3 linked regions of the Nothobranchius furzeri genome follow. Each later gene encodes a partner of the first gene's protein in a complex. Links are inferred from orthologs where the notes say so. Each region holds a gene or a part of one and is shown in the gene's direction. Other genes may lie near its edges.

Region 1 (3,021 bases):
TAACTTCCCTATCTTATTATGAGATGGTAAAGTTGTAATTATGAGATAGGGGTTGCATGACTTTATTTTTTTTAAAGTCGACAGTCAAGTAATGAAAATCGAGTCGACTTCGACTAGTCGTTGATGACGTCATATACCTGAAGCGGCGGGGGGGGGGGTCGGTAGGTTCGCTGGAGTTTTTGACAATTAAAATTGCGCCCACATTTTCTAAGTTAAAGACATTTCTTTTAACAACGGTAGTTTCTGCTTCAGCCCCCCCCCCCCTGCGCAGCGGCCGCAAACTCACTGATGTGCCTGCAGTCTCTCGGAGTTCCTGCTGCTCTAAACATTAAAATAATTATTTCATTTTCTGTTCCTCACTTCTGATTACCTTCAATGGTGTCTGTTTGTTGCAACCACCAGGTACAAAAACTAACTTGTTTTTATTTGACTATTTTTCTGTCCTGTCTGTTTATTATCTTCCTGCATCTCCTCTCAATCCTAAAGAAAAACTGCTACCTGGGTTCATATATATTCACCTTATGAGTTACCTTTGAACTGCAGTTCTAAAAGATCTACCGACCGCAAAAACAGCGGAGTGCTCGCCGGCCACGTCAGTTAGGTGTGTCACCGGAGGACAAAACAGGTGATGCGCCCCGCTCCGCAGCAGCGAAACGCATCAGGCACAAATAAAAGACAAAAAACATAAAAGGAAATGAGCCGACATGAACGATTGCGTGTTTAATTAGTTTTTGAGGTGGCGACACCTGATTTGATAATGTTACTGTGGCCGTGCTCAGGACGCAGATGTCTGGAGCGCATCAACAATCAGAGCTTTGCATGCACAAGCTGGTTAAGGTTAGGATGGGGGTGAGGGGAAGGTTAAATTGCAAGAGGGTAAACATCACAATTTGGTTAAATGTCCGTTTTACCGCCGGTGTCAGTACCGACGCTCTGGCACAGCGCGTTGCCTCCCGACGCGCAGGGGATCACCTGCTGTCTTTTCCGAGGACTGCATCTTGTCAGTCATTATCACTTGACAGCGACTAGTCGATGACAGGCATAAAAGTCACTACAGAGCCGTGAAGTCGACTATTCGACTAGTTCATACAACCCCTATTATGAGATAGTGGCGGGATTGAGCCTCCATAAACTACCTCCTTTTAATCTGGGCTCAGTTTTATAAAGCATGCTTGCAACCTTATTTATTATATCTCTTTGTGATTAAACTTATTTGACTCTTAAAAATGTCTCTCTAGTGTCAGTAAAGATTGTTTTCTTTACTGTGATCACTTGTTTTAATTTGACAAATAAAAATGCTGTATTTGTTTTTTCAAATCTGTGAAAAATGAAAGAAAGTACTTATAATTTTCTGTTGTATAACATTGAACATGATCTTCTTCATAGAATCCGTGGCACCAATTATCAGAGCCCTCATGGAATCCCCATCGACCTGCTGGACCGCCTGCTCATCATCGCCACCTCTCCTTACACTGAGAGAGAGCTGAAGCAGATTCTTAAGATCCGGTAGGAATCGGTATTCCCTGTCCACGAACCGTGTTCCTGTCTTCCCAAATCCAAATTAGGGAAGTAAACACTTTTGTGCTTTGTAAGGTGTGAGGAGGAGGATGTTGAGCTGAGTGAGGAGGCTCACATGGTCCTCACTCGCATCGGCATGGAGACGTCGCTGCGCTACGCCATCCAGCTGATCAGCACTGCAGGACTGGTGTGCCGTAAACGTAAGGTAAGCTCAGAGGAAGCGTCGGATCAGCATCAGATCTCAAATCGTGTGTGTGTGTGTGTGTGTGTCACGTGTCTTTTTGTTGCTGCTAAAGGGGACAGAAGTTCAAGTGGAGGACATTAAACGGGTTTACTCTCTGTTCCTGGATGAGGCCAGATCCTCCCAGTACATGAAGGAGTATCAGGATTCCTTCCTCTTTAATGAAACACGTGAGTTTTCCTCCTCTGGATGTATAGAAATATCACTTTCTGTCCAGGATTTTAACATCTGGAATGAAAGCGGTGAATAAGCTAAATCTGTTTCTTTTCATGTTTCAGAAACAGCATCCATGGATACCTCATAATCAAGAGGACTGCCTTGTATAATAACCGTCAGCCTTGTTTTTGTTTGTTCTTAGTACCCAGATTTAAAGTCAGTTCAGAGTTGGACAATAAATTAGATTTTAACTTCAATTTACAGCAAAGAAAGAAAAAAAATGCAGTAAATTCTTAATTATTTCTCTTTCCAAAAGAAAATTTAAAACTCAGTGCTGAAATTGGATTTAAAATGGATCAATCTGCATTATCCTAAGGCTTTTCCGTGTTGTCATGTGGTAGGAACATTCATTCCCTTGTAGTTTTGTTTTTTACTTCTCTTTATGTGATTTATTTCTTTAGATCTAAATAAACTGGCTTTTGTACTACAGATTTTTGTGTTTTTGTATTCAGACAGAGTCAGATTCTTAGTTTCTAGATTAGATTAGAATCGGGTTATCTTTGATATTAGAATTAGCTCATCTGGAAAAATTGTGACTAAAATAAACAAGGGAAGAAATAATTTATCACTTACTGAAAAAAACACTCCGCAGTTACTCCAAACTTCCCATTTCACACAATTTAAATAATTTCTCATTAAAAAAAGATAATCTTAAATTCAGCCAGCTGTGCAGTGTAAACGCTACAGTACTCATTCTTACCACAAGGGGGAGTGCTAAGATCAGTTTTAAAAAGAGACTTTAACCATCTTTGGTACGTTATTCTGTGTTTGGCTTCTAATTCCATTTTTGGTTCTTTTTTAAAACACAGGACAGGTTTCTCTTTACCTTGCTGACAGTTTGCCGACTGCAAAACATCTGGGGTTTGCAGAGTTCACAAATGAGTCAGAAACAGATGGCAGTATAGCATTTATGGACATGAAAATGACTAGGCAGGCCGACGGGACCCTAAACATAAACACATACAGGAAACCAACACACACAGACCAATATCTATTATGGACATCAGAACACCCCATCATACACAAAAGGTCAGTAATCAGAACAT
Region 2 (3,756 bases), on another chromosome or scaffold:
AATGCTTGCTGTTTTTTAACATTGGTGGTCAAATTAATGGTGGGGACTATTGGGTCATTGCTGGATATTGGTGGGGACATGGTCACCTCCGTCCATGCCAAATCTACGCCCATTAACTAAGCTTAAGCTGTCCGTTTTACAGTTTGATTAACACTAGATGAACTGTCATGCATCAGACAATTAATGCACCAATAAACAATTTGAATGTAGCATCACATATTTTACACATTCAAACATATATACATATTTATATATAATATATATATATTTTTAATCCCCATCTCATCCTCCGCAGGTAGTCTCATCCCTCCAAGCTTCGGTTCCTATCAGAGACCTAGGAGCTTGAGGGTCCTGCACAGTATCTTAGCTGTTCCTACTGTAGTTTTTTGGACTGAGATGTCTGATTTTTTTTCCCTGGGATTTTCTTTAGCCACTCCTCCAGTTTGGGGGCTACTGCCCCAATGACCACGGGCACCACCGATGTCTTTACTCTCTAGGCTTTCTCAAGTTCTATTTTGAGGCTCTTGTACTTTTCTAGTTTTCTCATGTTCATAGATAGATAGATAGATAGATAGATAGATAGATAGATAGATAGATAGATAGATAGATAGATAGATACGATAAAATGCCACATATTGTTTTTGTTTCTCATTTTTATTGTAAATTCAGAAACAAGGTGGTGTTGTGTGTGTGTGTGTGTGTGCGTGCACGTGCGTATTGAAGACTGATCAGTTTAGGCTGGCTTTTACATAAACTCCTGTAGATCATCTGCCAGCTCTTAGTTTATTTGTGATTGTTAAACAATTAAAGTTCCCTTGGATTCAAAATCCAGTCTGCATGTTAAATGTTAAAACGGATTGCCATACACCGATAAACGAGAAGGACTTTGCGCCTGTTTGGCGGCAGGGCGGAATAAACCAATAAACCAGTTGTCGCTATGTCGTTAGTCAACCCGTTTTTGTTTTAACCAATGACAGACTAGGGTTATGTGTGTTATGATAGAGGGGAGGGGCTTAGTGGGTTTCTGTCCCCGTTGTTTTATCGTGAATCACAGAGGGGGCGTGGTCTAGATGGAGGCTGGGCAGTAGTTAACATGGTGGTTTAGTATTTGCCTGGTGTACGTCGGAGGAGGCCCTCGCTACCTGGATTTTAGTTTGTCTTTCTTTGTTACCCTTTTATTTTGTTTTCTTTAAGCTTCATCATGGAGATGAAGAAGAGGGTCAGTCTGGCGCTGAAGAGCAGAAGTCCCGCCGAGGTTTGTAATTAAAACAAAGTATACTGGTATTTAGTTCAAGGAGAAGGATGCGGAGTCCGACAGACACGATGCTGGTTTTATACCATGGAAACCTGCGTTAAGAGCCTTTCTGCGGGCTAAACAGAACATGTAGCTCCGCTGCGCTGCACTATTCTGAGAGGCTCTAGACCCGGTGGACTCCTCCGCGTTTAGTTTCTCGCGCTGTGACTTCTCGTTCTGGTTGCGGGAGAGCCTCGCGTGAGCCGGACTCAACAGCTAACAGTTAGCAGCAGCTAACGTGGTGATGGTCTGGTGCTCCTGGACCGACCCGAGCCGCTTAACAGCTCCCGATCTCGGTGTTTTACATAATGTGAGCGTAATTTTGTTGAGTTTTAGGTCAGAGCCAGCTGCAATTTAATCCTCTAAGTTTGTTGTTCATCCTTTAAGGAGTTTAGAACCAGACCATGTGTTATAGAAGCCAACTTTTACGTTTCATTCTTTGCAAACCTTCGCATCGCTTATGCGTGTTCGTCCTACTTTTTAAATTCCCTGGTGGTTTTCCCGCCCACATCGCTACAGAGGGTTGGGACTCCACGGGGTGAGTCTCTGTAGTTGTATCCGGATGGTGGTCTTTGGCGAGGTTCTGTGTAAAAAAAAAAACAACAAAAAACTAAAGATCATCGTTCCTAGGCCCTTTTATAAGTATTCAAATCAACAGTTGGTAAGTGACTACTGTTCAAAACTTATTCGTTTTCCTTCTCCTGAACAGCTGCTTCTCGTGAGCAATTATCAAACTTACTCTCTTAGACTGTTACTCAAACACGAAAACCCACTGTTTACGCATTTCTACCAAACATTCAACAGCAAATGCAGTCCACATTGTACATTTTTGTCCTTCACACATTATTTTGTTCTTGGTTTGTTTTCTAGCTTGAGTTTTCAGTATCTCAATCATCTCCTCTGTGACCTCAAAGCGCAGTACTCAACACCACCAGTAGATGGCACTCGGATACCATTTCTTTTTAACAATATAAGCCTATAAAATAAAACGCATTTAACTGCAGGCATGATTGCAGCATTACAGGTCCTTCAAAAAAATTGGCATATTGTAATAAAGTTCATTATTTTTTGTAATGTACTGATAAACATTAGACTTTCATATATATTAGATTCATTACACACAACTGAAGTAGTTCATTCCTTTTATTGTTTCTAATATCGATTATTTTGGCATACAGCTTATGAAAACCTAAAATTCCCATCTCAAAAAATTAACATGTTTCATCCGACCAATAAGTGTTTTAATACAAAAAAGTCAACCTTCAAATAATTATGTTCAGTTATGCACTCAATACTTGGTCAGGAATCCTTTTGCAGAAATGACTGCTTCAATGCGGCGTGGCATGGAGGCTATCAGCCTGTGGCACTGCTGAGGTGTTATGGAGGCCCAGGATGCTTCTATAGCGGCCTTAAGCTCATCCAGAGTGTTGGGTCTTATGTCTCAACTTTCTCTTCACAATATCCCACAGATTCTCTACGGGGTTCAGGTCAGGAGAGTTGGCAGGCCAATTGAGCACAGTAATACCATGGTCAGTAAACCATTTACCTGTGGTTTTGGCACTGTGAGCAGATGCCAGGTCGGGTCGTGCTGAAAAATGAAATCTTCATCTCCATAAAGTTTTTCAGCAGATGGAAGCATGCAGTGCTCCAAAATCTCCTGATGGCTAGCTGCACTGACCCTGCCCTTGATAAAACACAGTGGACCAACACCAGCAGCTGACATGCCACCCCAGACCACGGGCGCAGATAGGATTTTCAAACTGGGGGGGACAAAGATCCAATGTACCCTCCCCCACACACACACACATACACAAACTATTGCAAGAGCCTTAACTAGAGCTCAGTCAGTTTGTGTAATTTCATCCAATGGTTTACGTAAAAACTAACACTTTTATATACGTGTTTGAAGCCATTATGCAATGGAACGCTGGCAACGAAGCTCTGCCTGATCAACACTATAAATAATAAATGATCCGCACTTGTATAGCGCCTCTCAGAGTAAGGACTCCAAAGCGCTTTACACTACAGTGTATCATTCATCCATTCACACACTGATGGTGATGAGCTACGATGTAGCCACAGCTTCCCTGGGGCGCACTGACAGAGGCGCCCCACTATTTAATTCTGTCATTTGTTATTCTTCTATGATTACTAACCAAAACCTCATGCTTTATGCAAAACATTAAATGATTTTCAGCATACCAATCTTTACAGAAAACATAAAAACCCTAAAAAACTGCACATAAAATATATTTAAACAACGATATTCACTTATCACTTAGAACAGTGGTTTCCAAACTTTTCAGCCTGACCAACAGATGTTCCTTCGTGTTTTTACGTTATTTCGAAATTTTCATTATATTTGGAAAGTTTTTATTTATGTATAAATACATAAATCTCTTTTTAAATTTTATGCTTTACTTTTTTATGATTATGTGGCACACTTCCATACATAACGCATC
Region 3 (3,744 bases), on another chromosome or scaffold:
CAGAACGATCTGTGGTGGGAGCAAGACGACGGTGAAGACAAATAAAAAGCAGGGCTCTCTCTGAAGACCAGAGATGGGTTACTCACGTCGATAGGCAGCGTTTCGTGCTCCTTCTCTGTGAGCCGCATGTATGACCGATCTGATGGGAGAGTTGGGATTTAATCAGAGTAATATCGACAATAACTCACAGAATACTCTTAATCCAAACATTAAACGACGGCAGTCACACAGAAGCGAGCAGGTACAGATTAAAGTCTTCCTCCGTTGGAGGCTCTAGCGGAGCTAGCTAAGCTGCTGTGGCCACAGGCCCCGCGGTCCTTCACTCGGTGGAGACTCAGTCCAACCAGAACTAACCAACACAGGAAAACATCGGTCTAACATCTTGGCGCTGAAACTCACGCTGTGCTGCCGAGAACGCTGCGTGGGCCAAGGCAAAGAGTCCGATGCCGACAACACCTTTCCAAAACGAAGAAGCCATCTCGAAGCAGGGCTCAGAGGGACTGTGGGCACCGTCGTAAAACAGTCGTAAACTGACGCAACTGTCACTGCGTCAAAACCAAAACCTACCTGCCAAATGATTATTTATGTTCGTTAAATATTATTATTCGCAGCCTGATATCTGTAAAATCATTTTATTTATGTGTTTTTGCCCTCTATTTAGATTTTTGTGAGCTGAAAATACCCAAAGAAAGCTGTCAGACGTCAAATGGTGCATTCGAATCACATCCTAAATTACATGTTTCTAACCAAACTCATTGATCTCCAACCAATATATTTGATCGAAAATTGAAGATTAGATGTATAACTAGAAAGAGCTTTTCATGGTTTAGTGAGCGTTTGCGTCAAAATAAGTCCAGATACACATAATTTTATTCTGACCTCGATTTAAAACCAGAATATCCGAGTGTGCCCTGAATCTTCCACTACATCCGGTCTCTGCGTAGCTTCTTCCTGTTAGCTAGCGCTGTTCTCTCATGTTGCCTTGCTAAGCGCTCTGTTACAATAATTAAACTTTTACAGTTGTGTAAGATAAAATAAGCAAACATGGCAGACGCCATTCAGAAGAAATTAAAAGCGGAAGTAGAAAAGTATGCACAAATGCAGAAAGGTGGGTTTTCTTTATGTGCTATCACAAGTTTTAGAGGGCATGTAGCCGCTATGTGTGCATGAAGTAACGTTAGCTTTTTGGCCATAAGAATAGTTTTTTAACCCACCTGCGTGTTTTTTCAGATGTTAGCAAGAACATGTCAGCCAGACAGAAACTGGAGACGCAGCTGACAGAGAACAACATTGTTAAAGAGGTAACTTCAGTCCTGTATGGCTGTATATCACAACGGTTTGTGTGTAATAATCCAGACATGACTCGCCTGTGTTTCCAGGAGCTGGATCTGCTCGACAGCTCAAACACCATCTATAAACTTATCGGTCCTGTTTTAGTGAAACAAGATCTGGATGAGGCCAAAGCCACCGTGGCTAAAAGACTGGAGTACATCAACGGGGAAGTGTAAGTCAAGCTGCTGCTTTACTGTTCTACAGCTCACCTGCACACCAATGTCTGTGTCACAGTGGTGAAAGATGGTTAGATTTGATCTTGTTTTTACAATTTCAGGTGGACGAAGCCGGTTAAACCCTGATTTTACTCAGACTCAGGCAGGAATCTTAATGGAAACAAACATAAAATGTAATTCTGAGCAATGCCAGACGCAGAGATGAGATCATCAAATTAATGCGAATATTAAAAAAACAGTTGGCCCTTATCATTTATTGCCATTGACAGCTAAAGACGTCATTTTAAATCCAGTGGCTCGCTGCAATTGACAACTAAAGCTGTCAGTTGCATTGTTTTAACGGGGTGGGCGTGGGATCGAGCCCCCGCACCATGAGAGTAAACATGACGTCTCTAAAGCTGATCTTAGTCCGTGTGTCACACGTCACCTGATCAGGAAGGAGAAAATCCATGAATTGGGATATTGTTTTGGGACGCTGCTGTGAAAAAAGCGAGGCGCTAACCAGAAAAGCGTCTGCAGCTCACACTTGGACAACAGATTGTGAAAGAATGGTTAACGCTAGAAACACGGTGATTCTTCCTGATGTAAAAAGTGAGTCTACTCTTTCTTTCGATAGTTTTGGCGTTTGCATGATCATAGAGCACAACGTTCTGACTCTTCAAAATCAGTAAAAACGCTCAAAAACGCTGGCAGCCAGGGGATTTCTGATCAGAAAACAGCGCAGTGAGTGAGTTAAACAGGATCCACCATAGTTCCTTATTTTCTTGTGGGTTGAAGCTGCTGACAGTCGCTTTTAAAACCATTTATTTAACCAGGAAGTCTCATTTTTAGTTGAACATGAAGGGACTTTCTTAAATTAGCGTGTTTGACATAACCGAATCCTTCACTAAGCGATTCCGGGTTCTAGCATGGCGGTGGTTAGGATGATACGTTTCACCTCTTGAGTGTGCACTGACGGAAGCATATTTTTTGCGTGTCACTTTTCCACTCAAAACGCAGCACTGAAGAGATGAAGTTGGAGAGGAACGGAAAACTTCATCCACAAAGACCAGCAGTTTGTTTTACTGGAGAATTAGACTGGAAAACCGGCATTCCCAGTTAGAACCAGAGAGGAATGTTTCAGTAAATCTGAGTAAATACCTGCTGCTGGAATTAAATGAATCAAATACAAAATCAGAAAATACAAAAAAAAACAATCGAATCCAGAATTATAATAGTTTTACTAATTTTGCTTGTTATTCTCATCATTACATATTTCCAGAGATTGTGAGTTAATTAAAATTAAAAAACACAAATTCCATATTTCTGACTGTGAGGATTATGTATTTTGATACTCGACACCCAATGTGTCACATATTAAAATATGCTGACTAATCCCAGCTGTCAGCCGAACGAAGGATTAATTGTATTGGACACAGAGACAATCGCATATTTAAACCTGGAAACAAACAAACAAAAAAATTTGAAAAATACAAAAGCAATGAGACAAATGAAAAACCTGCTAAACTTTGGAGAAGCCATGGCGCTCACACCGCCTTCACACTGGCTCAGCAGGAGCAGGAACACCTCCCGTTCAGGTTCAGTTATCCTGGTTATTCCTCCTCTCCTCCTAATCCTCAACCTCCATCTTTGAGAGTGGAGCTTGAAAAATCAGAAAAATGTGACGGCTGGATCGAATCAACAACAAAAATAATTTTCCTACAAGGCATTCTGTTTCGGACACACAATCATTTATGTTGAAACGTACCTTAAAGGGATACGATGTAAAGTTTTCATATTTTTAATCATTTTCTTGAGTAAGTATGTGCTAGAATGACCCTTAAAGGAGTCATCACCCGTTACTACCGTGGATATCTACATCACATTATATTATTTAGGCCATGAAAGTCATTTGTATTGGAAAATTAATTAAAAAAGTGCTTTTCTGACCCTTTTTTGTAAAGGACAGGTTTTCTCACAAGAGCACACGCGATATTTCGGCTGTGCTGGGCGTGTCATTTGGAACCGTAGGGTGTCCATGAAAGATCCCGCCTTTCTCGCCTCTGATTGGCTAGAAGGACTCAACTACGATTGGCTATTTTATTTAGCAGCAAACTGGCTTCCCGGCCAGTGAAAATTCATTAGGAAGACATTATATGGATTTTTTTCAAGTGGAAAGGTGAAAACTTCAGGTGATGACTCCTTCAGCAGGGTTACAGAAATGTAACTCAGACCCCCGCAGCCCTCTGTGGCCAGA

Evidence for each region.
Region 2: ruvbl2 (region 1) and acidic leucine-rich nuclear phosphoprotein 32 family member E share a complex: the UniProt entries of both Homo sapiens proteins name them as parts of the SWR1-like complex. The link is inferred for Nothobranchius furzeri from reciprocal best matches to the Homo sapiens genes RUVBL2 and ANP32E.
Region 3: ruvbl2 (region 1) and pfdn6 share a complex: the UniProt entries of both Homo sapiens proteins name them as parts of the PAQosome complex. The link is inferred for Nothobranchius furzeri from reciprocal best matches to the Homo sapiens genes RUVBL2 and PFDN6.

The regions. Positions count from the first base shown.
Region 1 is NC_091750.1:65,682,230-65,685,250, forward strand, and holds the end of ruvbl2 (ruvB-like 2), read left to right. Parts: intron 1-1,386; coding exon 1,387-1,506; intron 1,507-1,593; coding exon 1,594-1,723; intron 1,724-1,814; coding exon 1,815-1,929; intron 1,930-2,037; coding exon 2,038-2,063; 3' UTR 2,064-2,404; downstream 2,405-3,021. UniProt on the Homo sapiens protein: Possesses single-stranded DNA-stimulated ATPase and ATP-dependent DNA helicase (5' to 3') activity; hexamerization is thought to be critical for ATP hydrolysis and adjacent subunits in the ring-like structure contribute to the ATPase activity.
Region 2 is NC_091745.1:59,038,575-59,042,330, forward strand, and holds the start of acidic leucine-rich nuclear phosphoprotein 32 family member E, read left to right. Parts: upstream 1-1,050; 5' UTR 1,051-1,201; coding exon 1,202-1,255; intron 1,256-3,756. UniProt on the Homo sapiens protein: Histone chaperone that specifically mediates the genome-wide removal of histone H2A.Z/H2AZ1 from the nucleosome: removes H2A.Z/H2AZ1 from its normal sites of deposition, especially from enhancer and insulator regions.
Region 3 is NC_091741.1:28,885,105-28,888,848, reverse strand, and holds the start of pfdn6 (prefoldin subunit 6), read left to right. Parts: upstream 1-922; 5' UTR 923-1,044; coding exon 1,045-1,108; intron 1,109-1,230; coding exon 1,231-1,301; intron 1,302-1,379; coding exon 1,380-1,504; intron 1,505-3,744. Other genes in the region: mmgt1 (ER membrane protein complex subunit 5), read right to left, coding at 1-9, 87-139, 400-478. UniProt on the Homo sapiens protein: Binds specifically to cytosolic chaperonin (c-CPN) and transfers target proteins to it. Binds to nascent polypeptide chain and promotes folding in an environment in which there are many competing pathways for nonnative proteins.